4 linked regions of the Drosophila melanogaster genome follow. The protein of the gene in region 3 interacts with the protein of the main gene of each other region in a pairwise test. Each region holds a gene or a part of one and is shown on either strand. Other genes may lie near its edges. The genes, in order: RpS15Aa, eIF2Bdelta, SkpC and Np.

The links.
Region 1: the proteins of SkpC (region 3) and RpS15Aa interact in a two-hybrid assay, tested with the Drosophila melanogaster proteins (one large-scale study listed by BioGRID).
Region 2: the proteins of SkpC (region 3) and eIF2Bdelta interact in a two-hybrid assay, tested with the Drosophila melanogaster proteins (one large-scale study listed by BioGRID).
Region 4: the proteins of SkpC (region 3) and Np interact in a two-hybrid assay, tested with the Drosophila melanogaster proteins (one large-scale study listed by BioGRID).

Annotation. Positions count from the first base shown.
Region 1 is NC_004354.4:13,335,118-13,339,433, reverse strand, and holds RpS15Aa (ribosomal protein S15Aa), read left to right. Parts: upstream 1-1,795; 5' UTR 1,796-1,929; intron 1,930-3,054; 5' UTR 3,055-3,056; coding exon 3,057-3,449; 3' UTR 3,450-3,797; downstream 3,798-4,316. Other genes in the region: CG15747 (uncharacterized protein), read right to left, coding at 1-982, 1,049-1,059.
Region 2 is NT_033778.4:23,384,546-23,389,583, reverse strand, and holds eIF2Bdelta (eukaryotic translation initiation factor 2B subunit delta), read right to left. Parts: upstream 3,064-5,038; 5' UTR 2,962-3,063; intron 2,795-2,961; 5' UTR 2,787-2,794; coding exon 2,757-2,786; intron 2,681-2,756; exon of another isoform or gene 2,578-2,680; coding exon 1,972-2,577; intron 1,913-1,971; coding exon 1,352-1,912; intron 1,296-1,351; coding exon 612-1,295; 3' UTR 532-611; downstream 1-531. Other genes in the region: Mtmr6 (myotubularin related protein 6), read left to right, coding at 1-63; roh (reduction of Rh1), read left to right, coding at 3,287-3,467, 3,539-3,606; CG30414 (uncharacterized protein), read left to right, coding at 4,258-4,471, 4,537-4,579, 4,635-4,882, 4,938-5,038.
Region 3 is NC_004354.4:19,814,322-19,817,222, forward strand, and holds SkpC (SKP1-related C), read left to right. Parts: upstream 1-1,750; 5' UTR 1,751-1,816; coding exon 1,817-2,293; 3' UTR 2,294-2,379; downstream 2,380-2,901.
Region 4 is NT_033778.4:9,003,533-9,008,182, reverse strand, and holds the start of Np (notopleural), read left to right. Parts: upstream 1-1,595; 5' UTR 1,596-1,694; intron 1,695-2,806; exon of another isoform or gene 2,807-3,179; intron 3,180-4,650. Other genes in the region: CG8172 (uncharacterized protein), read left to right, coding at 1-312, 397-612.

The sequences.
Region 1 (4,316 bases), 6.5 Mb from region 3:
GGGGGATTGTTGCGAGGCCTCGGGTTCTTTGGGTTTAACGGGCTCTGAACTTTCCGGAGCCTTGTCCTTATCCTCCTTTTTGATCTGGGACAGCTTATTCTTTTCCTTCTCATTCTCCTTCTCGTCTTCTTCATCGCTGGAGTCGTCTATGCTAAAATCAGAATCGGCATCTATGTTGTTGGTCAAATGTGCCTGCGCTGGTATGCTTTCCGTTTGATCCGTTGACTTCGTGGCGTCCGAGGCTGCGTCTGATTTGCTCTTAGTCTGCTCCTCTTCATCCTCGGAGGGGCGACGTCGCCGATAGCTTCGATGCTTGACAGCCTCTGCCTTAATGGGTTTGTATGCCACCTCGTCGGTGGTGGGCGCCGTCTTTGGCTTGACGACATCCTGCTGGGCGGGACCGCCCAACTTTTGTTCGTATAGATGGCGATAGAAGCCGTCCAGATCCTTTTGCTTGGTCACATCGCCAATGGCCTCGAGGTACTCATCACGCTGCTCCTGCTCCTGCATCTGGCGTATGGACTCGAGCTTCTTGCGGTAGGCGGCAGTCACGTAGGTGTCCTTGTCCTTATACATCTCGCCCTCGGCTTCGCGATCCTTCTGCACCTGCCGTTCGATGCGCAGCTCCTTCTCCAGCTTTCTGCGCTCGGCATGCTCCATCAGCCGGCCAATGTACTTTGGTTTCCGCGGCTCCTGGCTCTTCGTCTGCTTGGCCTCCTCGCGTTTGCTGTCCATGTCATCGTACAGCTCGTCGTACTGGAATATGGTTGGATCCTCGGCCAGGGCCTTCTCCTGCTGCCGGCGGGCCACGCGGCGTTCCATTAGACTAGGACCCATGGATACGCCGCCGGTTCTTGGCTGAAATTGAGGAGCAGCTGGGTCATCATCGGTCTCGGAGTCGCTGTTCTCGTCGAAGATGGAGGGCCTTTCGACTCGTTTTAGAGGTACTTTCTTCTGTTGGCCGGGTAAAATAAGGCCATATCTGCACGGTGTTGAAACGGGTCCTTAAAAAACTGCTCAAATTGTTTATTTTTAACAAATTACTTACTGTTTTGCCATTCTTGTTTATTTATGAATAATTAGTATGACCGTCTGAAGCGACCACAAAAATCCCTCAATGGTGCAAAACTGCTGACAGCAACGCTTTACCGGCTAAAAGAACCGTTGTATATCGATAGGAGGACCATTCGATAGTATTAAGATAATAGTTTGAAACACGGATAGTATCACAAAATTCGTTATTTCAATGTGAAACTACTTTAAAACTTGTGCTTTAATCAACTTGTATTTAATTGTGTTTCAATGGACCAATCATTACTTTATTTTCTGTTTTATTGCCAAACCAAGGCTCTTACCCCTTGAAATCATGTTAGTGCAACTCTAGAGACGTAAAATACACATACAAATATGGCGAAATATTGAAACAAATTAAAATAAATTTAAATATAAATAAATTGTTATGTTAATAAAGCGTTTAATTATCACTTAAGGCCTGCTGTTTTTTTTTTATTTATTTTTTTACGCCAATGGAAACATCGGTCCTTAGTCTGGCTACGCAGAAAAATATAGACGGGATCATGATGCTCGGGGGGATCAGAGAAATATCAAAGATTACTTCTGAAGCCGTTCAAGTCTATTCACATGCATAGTGGCAGTTGGGCTCCAAATAATTGGAAGCGATTTTAGTCAAGCCAGCAACCGCGGCCTGCGTCCGGCTAACTATCGATAGGCACGTTGAGCGTAGACACATTCGACAAACGCGGCCACACTGTTCTGCGTCTTTTTCCTTCCGTTTCCCTTTCTTTTCCCTTTTTCACGTTTGCGTGAGTACGTGTACTCCGAGTTTTGTTCAACAAAATTGTATTTAACTCTCTTTTATTTCCTCTATTTGCAGCGGTCGTGTAAAACAGTTTTTGCAAACAAATCCAGGTAAATGCCGCTTCCATTGGACCCGTTTTAAGCGCGAAAATTCAGCCAGATTAGATTGGCGGCGATCGCCGGCCGAAACATGTGCAAATCCACCCAACTCCGTTTTTTTTATTACCCATTTTTTTTTACTGTGGGCCAATGTGCCAAAACTGATCAGTTTACCGTGTAAACAATGCATGAAATGCCTCGCTACATGCGCTATATATATGTATTTTTTTGGTTATAATTTTTTTAATGTGCAAACGAATATGAAGTGAAAAATTGGCCAAAGTGTGTGGCACAGTGTTGTTGTGCATGTGTGGGTGGGTGTGAGCGGCTTTAAATTGTGGCAAAAAGTTGGGCATTCAGTTGAATCGAATGCACGACCGAAAACCGGCTAAATTAAACAAATTTTTACGCAGTTTAGTTGGTAAACTTACCCGAAATAGTTGTTGTTTACAGCCACTTGTACGCACACACACACAGCCGCAGAAACACAGACAGTATCATTTTTTTTTCTTTGCTATTTTGCACGTGTTTTACTTGCTGTTTCTGCTTCTTTTTTTATTCAATGTTCCGTTCCTCGCTGATTTAAAAAGTGAAGTAAAAAACTGTTAAAAATCATAATCAATATTAAAAAACGATTCGTCGTCTGTCCGCGTGAATTTCCGAAAAGGCGCCACGCCTCCTGCCCTCCAGAAATCTAGAGTATTATAATAGTAGCCACTTTTATTGAATACTTTATTATGCTCATAATGGTTCATATGTGTTAGGGAAACCTTTTTCCAATAAGTCATATGCCACACTTGTATAGGCTCCATAAGTTGATATGTTTTGTTTAGGTGGTCAATTGATCTGTTCTTGTAGTACACATAGTTTTACGTACTTTTCAAGTTAGTTTTTCATTTAATAGGGCTTAAGCTTTGTTAGCCAACCTCATAGTACTACTTATATAGTAGTTATATGCAATTTAGTGAGATACTTTTTTTTAGTAGGCTCTGAGCACGTTTTGCTTGGTTTTGTAGACTGATTTTATAGAGCAATGGGGGTGGCAAAGTCTGCACTTTCGATTAAAGCCCAAGACATCATCTTTTTTTTTCTGTGATTATTGCCTCTTGACTAATTGTGTTCCCGAACATTTTGCAGCCATGGTGCGTATGAACGTATTGGCCGATGCCTTGAAGTGCATAAACAACGCCGAGAAGCGTGGCAAGCGGCAGGTGCTGCTGCGTCCCTGCTCCAAGGTGATCATCAAGTTCCTGACCGTGATGATGAAGCATGGCTATATCGGCGAATTCGAGATCGTCGACGATCATCGTTCCGGCAAGATCGTTGTCAACCTGACCGGTAGGCTAAACAAGTGCGGCGTCATCTCGCCCCGCTTCGATGTGCCCATCAACGACATCGAGAAATGGACCAACAATCTGTTGCCCTCGCGTCAGTTTGGTTACGTTGTGCTCACCACCTCTGGCGGCATCATGGACCACGAGGAGGCTAGGAGAAAACATTTGGGAGGCAAAATTCTCGGCTTCTTCTTCTAGAGAAACCAAGTTCGCATCGTAGAGAGTCTGTATGTGCTGCTAAGGAGTTTGATATGTAGATTGACGTTTTATTTCACCGACCATGCAACCAACTATGTACTTTGTGCACAGGAAACAAGGGGCGAAAACGCTGCTACGTTCATTCAGAAAACAAACGACGATGAATGTTCACAAAGTTACGCGAAATAAAATGATTGATACATAATAATTTTAATAACGATTTTGTCTACGATCCATATACTATGTTAAGCGGTACAGTGATAAATCAATAGCGACAGTAAAACGATCTGTTAACATAAAACCCAATTTGTGTATAATATAACCTCGACCGGAGTTACTTATAGCTGGATATTGTCAATTTTATGGCTGAAATCAAGACAATTAGGATGTTAAGAACGCGCCATGCGGTTTCTTTTGAGGTGCTTAAAACACGGTTACGTGCTTTCCATAATGAAAGTAAGGGCCAATTGTTCCCACTCTTGACACCTTAAAGCCAAAAATGATTAGACCATCATAGTTTTGGTATTCCCACCTAGGTTTCTTATTATTTGTTAGAACTTCTTCACCAAGAAAACCTCAATTACTGTCAAAAATTGTTTATGAAGCAAATAATGCTTGTTAGAATTTGTTGTAGTTTCTATAGAACAAAATGTACATGTAAAACGTACATTTACATGCTTCTTCAGGTTTTCAACTGTTTTCCAGCACAAGTTCCGAATTTATGCTGTAGATAACTGCTGCAATTTTTGAGTAAAAATTTGTTTTAATTATGATAAAGTGTATTCACTCGATGAGTCAAATTTGATGTTATCTCAAGTTATCCCTAGGGAGTACTAGGTTTTTTATGAACGGGTGTTGGGTTTGTGA
Region 2 (5,038 bases), on a different chromosome or scaffold from region 3:
AGTGGAAAGCCGGTGCCGGTGTGCCGGGGCTGCTTCCGGCAAATGCAAAAGCAAAGCCCGTAGAGGCAAGGCAGGCAGGATCGAGGAATGGAGCGGAGCTAGGGTGTGCAATCGATATGGAAACGCTATTAAATTTATTGTGTGTATTTATTGTTGCATTTGTAGACTTAGCTGCTTGTAGAAGCTCATTCAAGTTGTTGCAAATGGAAATCAAAAGAGCAAAACCAAATCAATCCACCAGCGATTGGCTTCCAGGCATCGTCCTAGTCTATAAGCCGGGCACAAAACTGTATTTTGTTATTAGAATCTAGAGCTACATATTTGCTAATCCCAGCCCCACCCGCACGGAAAGTACAATTGCATGTCAGAGCGCAGACTTGCTCTTGATCAAAATATTTATAATTTCCGAGGAACTCGGCGGTCTGCCGGATGTACAGACACTTGGGCCTAGCCCTCCTTCGCAGCAGCGGTCCCTGGCATCAAGCATATTCCACTAGCATACCCGTAAATTATGAACTACGCATCAATCTTGTTTGTCGATTTGATCAAAGTGTAATAAAACTTATTTATTCAACAACTGCGAGTTCTACTGAGCGATCGATGAAGTCTGATTAGTAGCCAATGTCTGGCTTGATGCGGAGTATGACGGGAACACTGGTGCAGGGCAGGATGGCCACCTCGGTGACCACGGCACTCACCAGCTCCGGCGGAGTAATGTCGTAGCTCAGGTTGAGCGGCAACAGCTTTCCCTTGGCCGCCCAGTTGCTTAGCTGGCACTTGTCGCCGCGCACCAGTTGGTTGGGATCGCTCAGCTCGTTGTAGACGATGGCGTCCGTCTGGAAGCGCTCGCTGAACTTGTGCGTCTCGCAGCACACGAGCACCGGCACGTTGTGGGCATTGGCCACCAGGGCCACCTGGGCGGTGCCCGTTCGCGCCATCACGTATCCGTTGGCCAGCAGGGCGTGTGCTCCCAGCAGCACCTTCGTGGCCTCCGCCATCACATAGCCCACGGCGTTGATCAGCACGTAGGTGCACGGGATTCCGGTGGCGTGCAGTCGGCGCAGCAGCTCCTGGCCTTCGCATCCGGGTCGCGAATCGACGACAATCACGCGGAAGGCCACCTGGCGCCGCTTGGCCTCCTCGCAGATGAACTGAATGAGGGAGGAACAGGCGAAGGTCAGCAGCACGTCGCCATCGGTGATCTTTTCCTGCAGAAAACCGCTGATCGCTTGGGCCGCCTTGCCGATTTGATTTTCAATGTAAGTATCGATGAAGTGGACGAGCAGCTCCTTCGACTGTTGAGCAAATGCATGTTACCAATTGAGTTAAAAAAATATATTTTGATTCTTACCTCCGTTTCGGGAACATCCGCCGGCAGCTGTGTCAGTTGGTTCTTGAATTGTTTGTACGCATTGGACACGGACACGGCCAGCGGTCGGCACTTGTGCAGGTGGTCTACGTGGTGCTTCACGGCGGCGTCCAGGCTGCGACCAAACTCCTTCTTGGCGGGCGTCTCAAAGTCGTGGACAACCTGGCGCAGGGCGTGCAGGAAGGCAATGCATCGAGCATTGGACCCCACCACCGTGCGCTTGGCGTACTGAACACCCAAGCGCGCAATGCTCGGATGAACGAGTGGATCGTTGATGAACTGGCTGTCTTCCTTGGCGCACACCAGATGGTTGAACAGCTTCACCCGGCAGTCTACATTGGGCGTGCTGGCTGGACATTTGACGGGGGAACTGCTGGTGGCCGCTGTGGTGGGGGAAACGCTCTTCCGGTTCGGCCCTTTGGGAGCTGCGCTGGGTGGTGCCTTGGCTGCATGCTGGGCCTTTTTAGTCTGTACCTGGGCCTTGGCTGCCCGTTGGGCTTCTTGGATAGCGCGACGCTCCGCTTTGCTAAGAGCTGGCTTTTTCTGTGCAAGGTGAGGTGAGATGTATATGAAGCAAGGAAATCATAAATGTAGCAAGTTACCTTTTCCTGGTCCGCTTCTGTTGTCGAAGGTGCAGCACTGGCTGCGACTGGAGCTTTTTCTGCTACTTTCAGGTCAGCGAGCTGTTGTGCGATGCCCTCTACCTTGGCTCCCCCGCCTTTGCCAGCTTTCTTGGCTGCCTTCTTGGCCTCGCGTTCCGCCTTGATCTGCTCGCGTGTCTTTTCACCCGCCTCCGCATCCTTGCCATTTACCGCAGCTGGCTGAGTCGTCTTTGAAGCCACTGCATCCTGCACCTTTGTTGTGGTGGTGGTCGTCAGCTTAGTGGTAATGGTGGTCTGCTCCACTTCAGTGATGATTTTGGTGGCCGGAGCAGAGGGAGTGGTCAGAACAGCAGGAGTGGCGGCAGTAGGAGTCGGTGCAGTTTTCTGTTTCTTGGCCTGCTTAGCCAGCTTCTTCGCCTCCCGCTCGGCCATTATCTGGTCACGAGTCTTCTCCGTGGCCAATGGATCCACAGCATTTCCGGGCATTGCACTCGTGGCGTCGATGGCTGATGTTTCTTGTGTCGTTGAATGGCTGTCTTCCAGGCGATTTCGTTTGTTGCGCGGTCGATTGCGTTGCCTTTGCTTCTTGTGCTTGCTCTTCAAAGTCTGGGCGTCAGTCCCAGTCCAGATAGGGAGTACGGAATTAGTTATTGATGTAACAATATGTAAAACTATCAAACTGTTTGGATCAAATACGAAATCAAATCGGCCGACATGCTAAATCAAAACTAAATTTGGGAAACTCGCTACTTGGCAAATTAGTTACTAAGAGGCAAGCTAGCTACCTGTGGCACCTGTTCGCTAGTTAAAACCATTTTGAAAGCTTGAAAAGAGAGAGACATGGCAATTAAGGTGAAAAAGGATGTGAAAAGGTTAAAAAAGGTTCAGACTCCTGTGGCGGTGCAATTAAGATCCAAGCTGAATCCTGCGTCTATGGGTAAGCACGAATGCTGGCTTATAGCACCTAAGCAGTGTGCTTGCTGTCTTTACCTTACGATTCTATATTATTATTCGGGAAAAGTAACTCGAAAGTTTTGCTCACGATGGCAAAAAAACGTCCACCAGTTGATAGCGATGTAAGTGAATCGATAACCGTCTTGATTCGCCGCGGTAAACACATGGCCGGCCTTGCCAGACTCGCTAGCAGCCAGTGTCATTTTTGGTGCTTTCCTCGCCGCACGAGTTGGCATTCCCATAGCTGTCTTTTATTTGTGAGGTTCGTATGTTCGTCTGCCGCCTCCGAAAATTACATAATTTTTGCGTAAATTGATTTCGTTTAATTCGACCCTCCACAGCTGCGAATTCCACGACTACCATGGCCGACAAAGCTGCTGCCGAGAAACCCGCTGGACGCCCCATGCGCTACCCATACACTTTCTCCGCGAAGATAGCCCAATTCCCCATCAAGCACTACATCAAGAACCAATGGATCTGGCGCTACTACTTCATTGCGGCCGTGGCCTGCGTGCCCGTGTTCTACAAGATCAGCAAGCTGGGTGCGTAACACTCGCCTCGCGACCTCTGGGCCCCTTGTACTAATGCACTTCTCCCTCCTGCCCATTTTCAGCCAACTCGCCCGAGAACAAGAAGGCATGGGCCGAATCGCAGGCCAAGGAGCACGCCGAGCACCACTAGGCGGCCAGTAACTTAGTCTTAATTGTCGCATCAACATTTCAGAGCTGTTTGTGTCGGACCCAACGTGAAATCGGCGAATAAATGATTTGAAACGAGGTTAAACTTGATTCTTATTGGAGAGTGCACTGCAACATCCAAATACGGTCTTATTATGCGGCTATGACACCACCTATGAGTTGAGTTCGGTCACACTAATGATTTGTTATATGAAACACAAATTAAGTTGCTTGTTACTATTAAAATTCATAACTAGCAGCATTTAATTGGATTTATTAAAGAATAGATTAAATTATATTCCACAACTGATCGCGATGAATATTCGTTTACCCAGATAACTGCATTTCGAAGGGTTAATCGAGAAGCTAAGCAGGAAAAATATTCAAGTTCAAATTTGTATAAGTAGTTGGCGCAAGACAAAGCATCACAGGGGTCTAATTTTTGGTAGTGAGTTGGAATTTCCCCAGATTCGTAAATAAAATAAAAATAAAAAAGTACTGAGAGCACTCATTAAAACAAAACACTGATTCCTATCATATCCGTTTCCGTTGACGGTCATAAAGAGTGTACTGTTATCAGCTGGTCAACATAAAATTCCTCAAAAATTACCTCAAACTCGACTAAGCTTGCCAGTCGCTCCATTACCGCGAAAAGATGAAGTTCATCGCAGCTGGATTAGCTCTTCTGGTCTGCTCCATCCAGTTGGGTGAAGGAGCACCTGGTCACCTGCTAGACTCCAGTTGTGGCACGACAAAACCAGAATTTATCCCAATGATCACCGGGGGCGCAGACGCAGGCCTATTCTCAAATCCATGGATGGTGAAGGTGCTAGGCGAGAAACTATGTGGTGGCTCGCTAATCACCAGTCGTAAGTATTCAAATGTGGCCCACGAATGAGTTCTTTGTCCAGTCACCTGCTGCTAATACTTTCAGGCTTCGTTCTCACGGCCGCCCATTGCATCGTTAGTACACACATGTAAGTGAGGCAGCACTGTCTTTCGGCGAACACTTACGAATTCCCATTTCCACAGGAGAGTACGCTTGGGCGAGTATAAAACCCGCTTTCCTGGCAAGGATTGCTCGCGCTGCGTGCCCAAGTCATATAAACTCAGGAGAATACGCTTGGGCGAGTATGACACCCGCTTTCCTGGCAAGGATTGCTGCGTGCCCAAGTCATATGAACTCGCTGTGGATAGAAAGATTTTGCATGCGGATTATAACCTAAACTTGGACAACGACATCGGCCTGTTGCGCATGAAGAGCTTCGTCCAGTACTCAGGTAATGAGGTGGATCCAGCAGCCAGGGCTCCCTAAGCAGTGGACATATCTTTCAGACTACGTCCGGCCGATCTGTCTCCTGGTCGAGGGACACATGGCGGAAAGTCCCATCTTCAACATCACCGGCTGGGGTGTCACCAACGATGGCACGCCCAGC
Region 3 (2,901 bases):
TCAAATCAGTTTCTTTAATCAGTAAAAATTAAATGTAAGTGAGTGGGTTGCGGGTAAGGTCGGTTAGATTTTAATTAATATTTAATAGCTTATAGTCTAGCAATATAATTAGGGTTCAAGCAATTGTTCTCAGTGTATTCATTTGTCGCGTTAATCTGTATAGAATTTGTTCAACTTTGGGAAAAACAAGAGAGAATGCTATAGTCGAGTTCCCCGACTATCAGATACCCGTTACTCAGAAAAATCGATAGATATAAAAAAAAATTATAAAAATTTTAAAAAATTATTCCAAAGTGTGGGCGTGACCGGTTGGGCGGTTTTAGGGCGTTCGAGTGGGTGTGGCAAAATTTTTGTTTTTATCAATAGAAATTTACGAGACTAATAAAAATTTGAAATAATATCAACACGTTTTTCGAAAGTGTGGGCGTGGCAGTTTTGTGCGGTTTGTGGGCGTGGCAAATTAAATAAAAATTAAAAATACAAAAGTAATATAAAATAAGTCTCCTCCTTGGGTTCACATTTAAAGGAATTATTGCGAATAATTCAAATATTTGCGGATATAATTATTCAGAAAATTTCTCTCAGTGTACATTCGCAGTTTGATATCTTTCACGCAAGTATAGGTTTAGGTCCGATAGAATTTATCAATATGTTTACTTCAGCAGAAACTTCTCCCTCTGTATTCATGTCTTCTAACCCTAAAATTATTCTTGTCCACATGCTCACTTTTTTTAATTAATATATCTTTTAAGCATTTAAATTAAATACAAATCTTAGGGTTTTGGTTTATGTGCGGCTGCTGTCAATCGATGGGAAGGGGTGATCCCCGGGACGGCTCGAAAAGGGTGCTCCACAAGACGGCATGACTCGAGTTCATTTTTTTGCTGACCGCCTAATAGGTTAGAGCCTTTGCGTCAACTGGCACACAAAAAAAAAAACTTAAATCGCGTTCCGTTTGGCGGCTAGGAAAACTCACTCGAATAATGGTATTTTCGCACTTTGTTTTTGCTATCCAAAACGGACACTTTTTTGGCCGAATTGCATCCTCATCCTCGTATTAAGTACGTAATTAAGTACTAAAGCTAGCAAATCGAAATTCTTCTTTGTATCTTGGATTTAATATTAATATATTATTTTGGAACTCGGTTCAAAATACAGTTTTACGGTAACTGAAAATTTTGATTCTGTTAAGTGTATATATTTTATGGAAAGCAAGTTACACATAATTGGAGTGTTTCATAAAACAATAATAATACAGTAAAAGGGAATGTTAGAATCGCTAATGAGTATGTAACAGGTAGAAAGTGCCTTCTGTCCGTCTGTTTTTCAAATGAAAAAATATATATTTAATTTAAAGTTTTTTTGAAAAATTAGAGCAAGTAATGTAAGCCCACGTGCTATTTTCCAGTTCCCTCTGTTAAAAATATTTTTTACGGGGTTCTTTCCGGAACTATTATTTTGAAATTTTTTGATTGAGCACTTACCCAACATTCATATAGGTTTTAAAATTCATATTACACTTTTTTTTATTACACTTTTAAGGTCTGATATGATAAATAAAACACGATTCGCGATTCTCAATAAAAAAGCTAAAGCGAATCTACAGTTCTTAATGTTAAGACTTCCAATTTCTAGTGTGTACACACTTGACGACAGTGATTCCGCAGTGATCACATCTGGTCACTCTGTTCTCTATTCTTTTTTCTTTGAACTTTCGAATCGTCCAGTTGGCACGTGCTCTATCAATCATCCCATCTTGTTCTTCTGAATCTCTTTGAACGTAGTTTGGCAAATAGAAAGGCAAGGCAAACCGAAAATGGATGCTCCCACCATCAAGCTTGAGTCCTCGGATGGGATGATCTTTTCAACGGAAGTCCGAGCCGCCAAGCTCTCCGAAACCATCAAGACCATGTTGGAGGTCTCTGCCGTGGAGAACGACGAGAATGCCATTGTGCCGCTGCCCAAGGTGAACGCGTTCATCCTATCCAAGATTCTGACCTGGATCTATCACCACAAGGACGATGATGCCCATGGAGCGGAGGGCGTGGAGTTGAGCCCGCAAAGCCCACATGACATCTCAGCCTGGGACGCCAACTTTATTAACGTCGATCAACCCACCTTGTTCGAAATCATACTGGCCGCCAACTATCTGGAGATCAAGGGCCTAGTGGATCTCTGTTGCAAGACGGTGGCCAATATGATTAGGGGAAAGACTCCCGAGGAGATCCGCCACACGTTCAACATCCCGGACGAAATACCGAGCAGGACGGCCCAGTTGGGCGAAGACCTGTGAGGCACAGTCTCTTTCGGAGCAAATCCGGTTGGGACACCTGGAACCTTCCTTTGTTGAGAACTTATTTGTTTCACCAGAATAAATATGATATTACGAGTATTTTTGAAAGCATATCTATTGTATTTTATCAACATATTCAGTTTACAGTTTACTTTGGCAACAAGAACACATAAAACATAACTTTTTAAATCGTTTCATGTTCGCTTGGGCTAAAGGAGTGCTCTGGCTCTATTCCCAGTTGATTGCCACCAAGCCGCCCGGGGATACAAGCACACACCACACACCACACCACACACCGACCCACTCCACTCCATAGCACCCCAATCCCGGAATCCTGGTGCTCCTTAAGCCGGTTCCTGATTTGGCAGCCACGCTAATTTCCAAAAGCCTTGGCCGTTGGCGCTTATGAGCTCTGCATCCATGAAGTTCGCATTACGTATGTAAAATAGTGCAGAAAACCCCCAAATGAACCCAAGCCCAGGGTCCCAATCCTCGTATTCCAAACCCTTGGACACAACTTACGCACTTTACATACCGTTGCGGGGTGGGGAGGCGGGTGGTGGGTGGCAGGAGGCTGGGCAATGTCCTTTATTGTAAGTTAAGTTGCT
Region 4 (4,650 bases), on a different chromosome or scaffold from region 3:
AACCACGAAGAGTATGGCATCGAGCGAAAGGAAGTGCATCCCCATTACAATCCGGCAGACTTTGTAAATGACGTGGCTCTGATCCGCTTGGACAGGAATGTGGTCTACAAGCAGCACATCATACCCGTCTGTCTGCCTCCTTCCACCACCAAATTGACTGGTAAAATGGCCACTGTGGCTGGGTGGGGGCGAACCCGACACGGCCAGAGCACAGTTCCCTCCGTACTGCAGGAGGTGGACGTGGAGGTGATCTCGAATGATCGCTGTCAGCGATGGTTCCGGGCAGCGGGTCGCCGAGAGGCCATCCACGATGTGAGTAAACATTGGCATAGACTTAAGACCGGCATAGGTCTTCCCTTAAAAAAGATCTACATTGAGCAACTTCTTTTCGTCCAGGTCTTCTTGTGCGCAGGCTACAAGGATGGCGGCCGGGATTCGTGTCAGGGCGACAGTGGTGGTCCACTAACATTGACCATGGACGGTCGCAAGACCCTGATCGGATTGGTGTCCTGGGGCATTGGCTGTGGGAGGGAACACCTGCCCGGCGTCTATACGAACATCCAGCGTTTCGTGCCCTGGATCAACAAGGTTATGGCCAATGACAACGCGTAGGCGCCAACGCGCAGGTGTGCGTCCGCTGCGGAGATGCATGCCGTCAGCCAGGCCATGTGATTCCTCTACGACTCGGGGTTGCTAGTGTGTAAGACCGAGGTCCTTGGGGCCTTGTATTTATTTTATCATACTCCACATCCTAGGGTTCCTCGACTCAATCAGTCCAACCGTTCGATCCCTCCACCCTTCATTCGACTTCATTGCATTCCACGCATTCTATTTAAGTTTTCTATATTTATTAAACACTGTTCGAATAATTCCTACATTTGCGATCCACTTTCACTGACATCGTATTGATACCAATAATTATGTTTTAAAAATAAAAACAAAATGTACCAAAATACCATGGCTTTTTATTGACAAACGTCTGATGTGAACATCAAAGATAATTTTAATTACAACTTTTTAAAACTTTATAAAACCTGCATTAACTCGCTGAAATTCATGCAACAGAATTTAACTTTTACATTGCAATTTCCATTTGACGTGGTTCGCGTCTTGGGTAAATAAAAACAAGCTGCATACTTTCAGGCAGCATCTCAATCAATATACAGATGATGCACAAAGAACATGATTTCGAAATGGTTTGGAATCTGTGTTTATCTTGTTGGGCAAATAAGAAACAGAGGCAGCAAACATTAGCCAGAAATGCCAGAACAGGCACGAACATCAAACAGAGATATCTTCTGAGATAGCGCGGGAAATCCAAAACTGGGTCCATGGCCGTGCAACAGGTGCCACATGCTGAGCATGATCTGAATTTCTAATGAGCCCGACTTCCGCTGGCCACCAAGCAGTAACCAATGACCAGTATCATCGCTGGGCATCAAAACTCAATAACATAATCAGGGGGAGAAGAATCGAAAAGGAGCTTATCAGCAGCTCTCCTCTCTCACCAGGCCTCGCTCTTAGCATCCACATTGGCATCCACTTCTTCGGGCAATTGGCCAAAGAATCGGGGATCGCTTGGCTTTCCAGGCCTCAGTTGCTGTGGAGCAGCCCCAGTGTCAAGGTCTCTCGAGTTCAAGGAACGGCCAAAGACACGCGTCATCGCCAAGTCAGTCAGTGGTTGATAGTTAATTGTGCGTTTTGTTTTGCTTGCTTCATTAAACAGAGATGTTGTGAGGCGCGATTCTTGTGTGCTGTATAAATGTGTTTCTTTGGCAGTCTAAATGGCCTTTTCACAAGACCTAATGATGTGTGGATTAGAGCGTGTGATGGTCGCAGTACCTAAACAAAAGAAAAATTCCTACAATTTGTGCATTGATTAAAGGACAAAAGAAGCTAGAAGCCAGCTTTAATTTGTAGCAGAAGTTCAATATTTCCCTTCCTGAAATGAGCAAAGTGTTTTTCCCCAGAAGTGCTGCTCCTTAGAAGTTTCTTCCCATACGTTTCTCGGAAAACGTACTTAAAAGCCAAGGAAGTCACCATGCAATTCTTATCAGCCAACTGGTTTGCCTGTGAGAGCCGCAGCATAATAAAGATTGACTTTCTTAACCTGACGACGTGCATAAATTAAAAGACAAACAAACGGTGGCCCCCCACACTCACACACTCTCACACTCGCACAGGTGACAAAGAATGGCGAGCAGCAGCAAAAACACACTCATTTGCAACACAAAATATATATATTAAAAGAAAAAGCCACGATGTGTGCATGTGTGCGTGTGTGTGTTTGTGCTGTCTTCTGCTTCTTGCTATTTTAATGTGAAAGCGCTGTTAACCCCAAACTCCCCCCGCCACAACCGCCACCACCCCCCGCCAAACACCTTGTGCCGCCAATCAGCTGTGAGCCGCCTCAAAAAGAGAGAGGTGGCCAAAAGAGAGAGAGGTTCATTTGAATAAGAAACAGAAACAGAAACAGCGCCTAGCTTTTGGCCGTTCTCGGTGTTGGCCTTAATGAAAACCGTTATGCGCGTAGCGCAGTCGACGCCGACTGCACGCATGCGCACATGTTGGTGGTTTGGTTTTGGTTTTGGTTTTGGCTTTGACTTTAACTTTGAGCCGGAATGAGCGTGCGAGCGAGAGAGAGAGAATCAGCTAACTTACCAATTTCGTCTTACCAAGTTCTTCAGCTCTGCCGGCGTGGCCAAATCTCAGTCGCAGCGGGCAGCGGCAGCGACGGCAGCAGTGCCAGTGGCAGAGGCAGTGGCTTCACCTGGTTTGTGGATCTTTTGTGTGAGCTCCACACCGCAGACGTGCGCAACTTGTCGCGCTCTTAACTTGGTCTTCTGCTCGTCTTCCGTCTTCCGCGACTGTGTGTGTGTGTGCGAGTGCGTCTGTACTCGGGGACTTAGCGAGTGTGCGTGTGTGTGTGCGAGTGTGAGTGAAATAATTGGCCTGACCCAAAGTCCCGAGGCAAGTTCAAGTGCAAGAATACAAGCCAAAACCAAAGCAACGAAATCCCAACCGGGAAAGGAAACGAATCTCGGGAAACAAATTTTCCCAGGCGGCTAACAGTGCTTTGTGTGATCTTTTTTTGAAAGAAGCGAAAGGTAGAACTGCGGAAAAAGGCCGAGAGCCAGTGTCAAAAGTGAAGAAACTCATAAAACGAACGAGCCACAAACGTAAGAGTTATAATCACACTCATATGGTAACAGCGAATTAAATGAAATGACCCAAAATAGCTGGCAGCAGTGAACCGAAGCTCGACGTCAACTGGCAGCCAACGCAAGTAAATGCAAAAGATCCGAGACTCAGATACGCATCCGCCAGATACGCCGGCTCTTTTTTCCCCTGTGCCAGTGGTTGTGCCCAAAGTGCTTGTGCACTTTCTACCGCGTACAAGTCAATTAAGCGCCAACTCACTGCGGTCACAGAAACAGAAACAGCAACAGACTCAGATGCATGTGCTAAGATACAGATACAGATTCAGATACAGATACCGAGCAGCCGATAGATGCGCATAACTGCAACTAACTGCACCAGCAGAGGCTGCAAAACAAGAGCAGCCAGTTCAAGCGCCGCAAACACGGCCAAAGCTCGAAACGAGTCCAAAGCAAAAGTCGCTCCCTCCTCTGTAAATTTATTGAAATTCCTGTAAAATGCAAGCGAGCCAAAGCGGCGTGCCACAAGAGTTGGGGCACCAGCACCACCACCACCACCAACAGCAGGAGCAACAGCAGCTTAGTACAAGTGTTTCAATTGCGCTGCCACTGCCGACTGCTTCTGCTTTTCCCTCAGCGACCGAGAAAAGGCAATCTTAAGCAGAACTTTGCTTGCTCCAGCTTCCTTTGGCTCCTCGGCAAACGATTTTTGCTTTTCGGTTTAAAGAACTGGTCTGATTGTGGTTATGCCAATGGCAAGTCGTGGGTAACAGGGGTTAGATGGACTGGGAGTTAATTATATAAGGGATAGTTTTATTCAGTTAAAAGTATCATACAAGCTGAGATTGACCAAATACAAGTGATGCAGTTTTTATGTTCATTCAGGTTACTCTATGTTAGATTTTATATATTTTGTGATAAGTACCATAGGGTCGACCCCCCTGCGACAACCACACACGGCTCTTCCTTATTGTTGGAGGCCTGCCAGTCCGCCTGTCTTTGGTCTAAAACGCACTCGACAGCTGGGAGGGCGGTGGGGGGCATTGGAGGGGTGGAGCACGTTTGTCTTGCGGCCACAGATGATCTGTAGGCAGTAGGAAGCCTGTTGCGTTATTTGCATTTCACGTTCTGGGGCCGCTCTGGTTTATACAGGTTTGCCGGGCAGATCGCCTGTCAGGAGAAGTTGATGATGGGGTGATAGGATGAGGCTGCCTGCGTAGAGTAGCGCAAAATGGCTCGCCGTAATTATTGTAATTTGCATTCGGCATTTGCAATTGAGAAATTGCCGTTGATGGTTGTATTGAACCTGCAATGGCAGCTGCTGAAACAATTAGGCGGCCCTCAGCGGCAGGCGATGCGCACGCCTGCCCATCGAGTTTGTGCCCTAAGTCTTTCGTTTTGAGCTAATGAGCTGGGCTTAGCTGGACAGCCAGATGGGGACATGTGGCCAGAAGCGCCAAGCCGATGGGCCTTGGCAGCCCGCAGCTAAGTG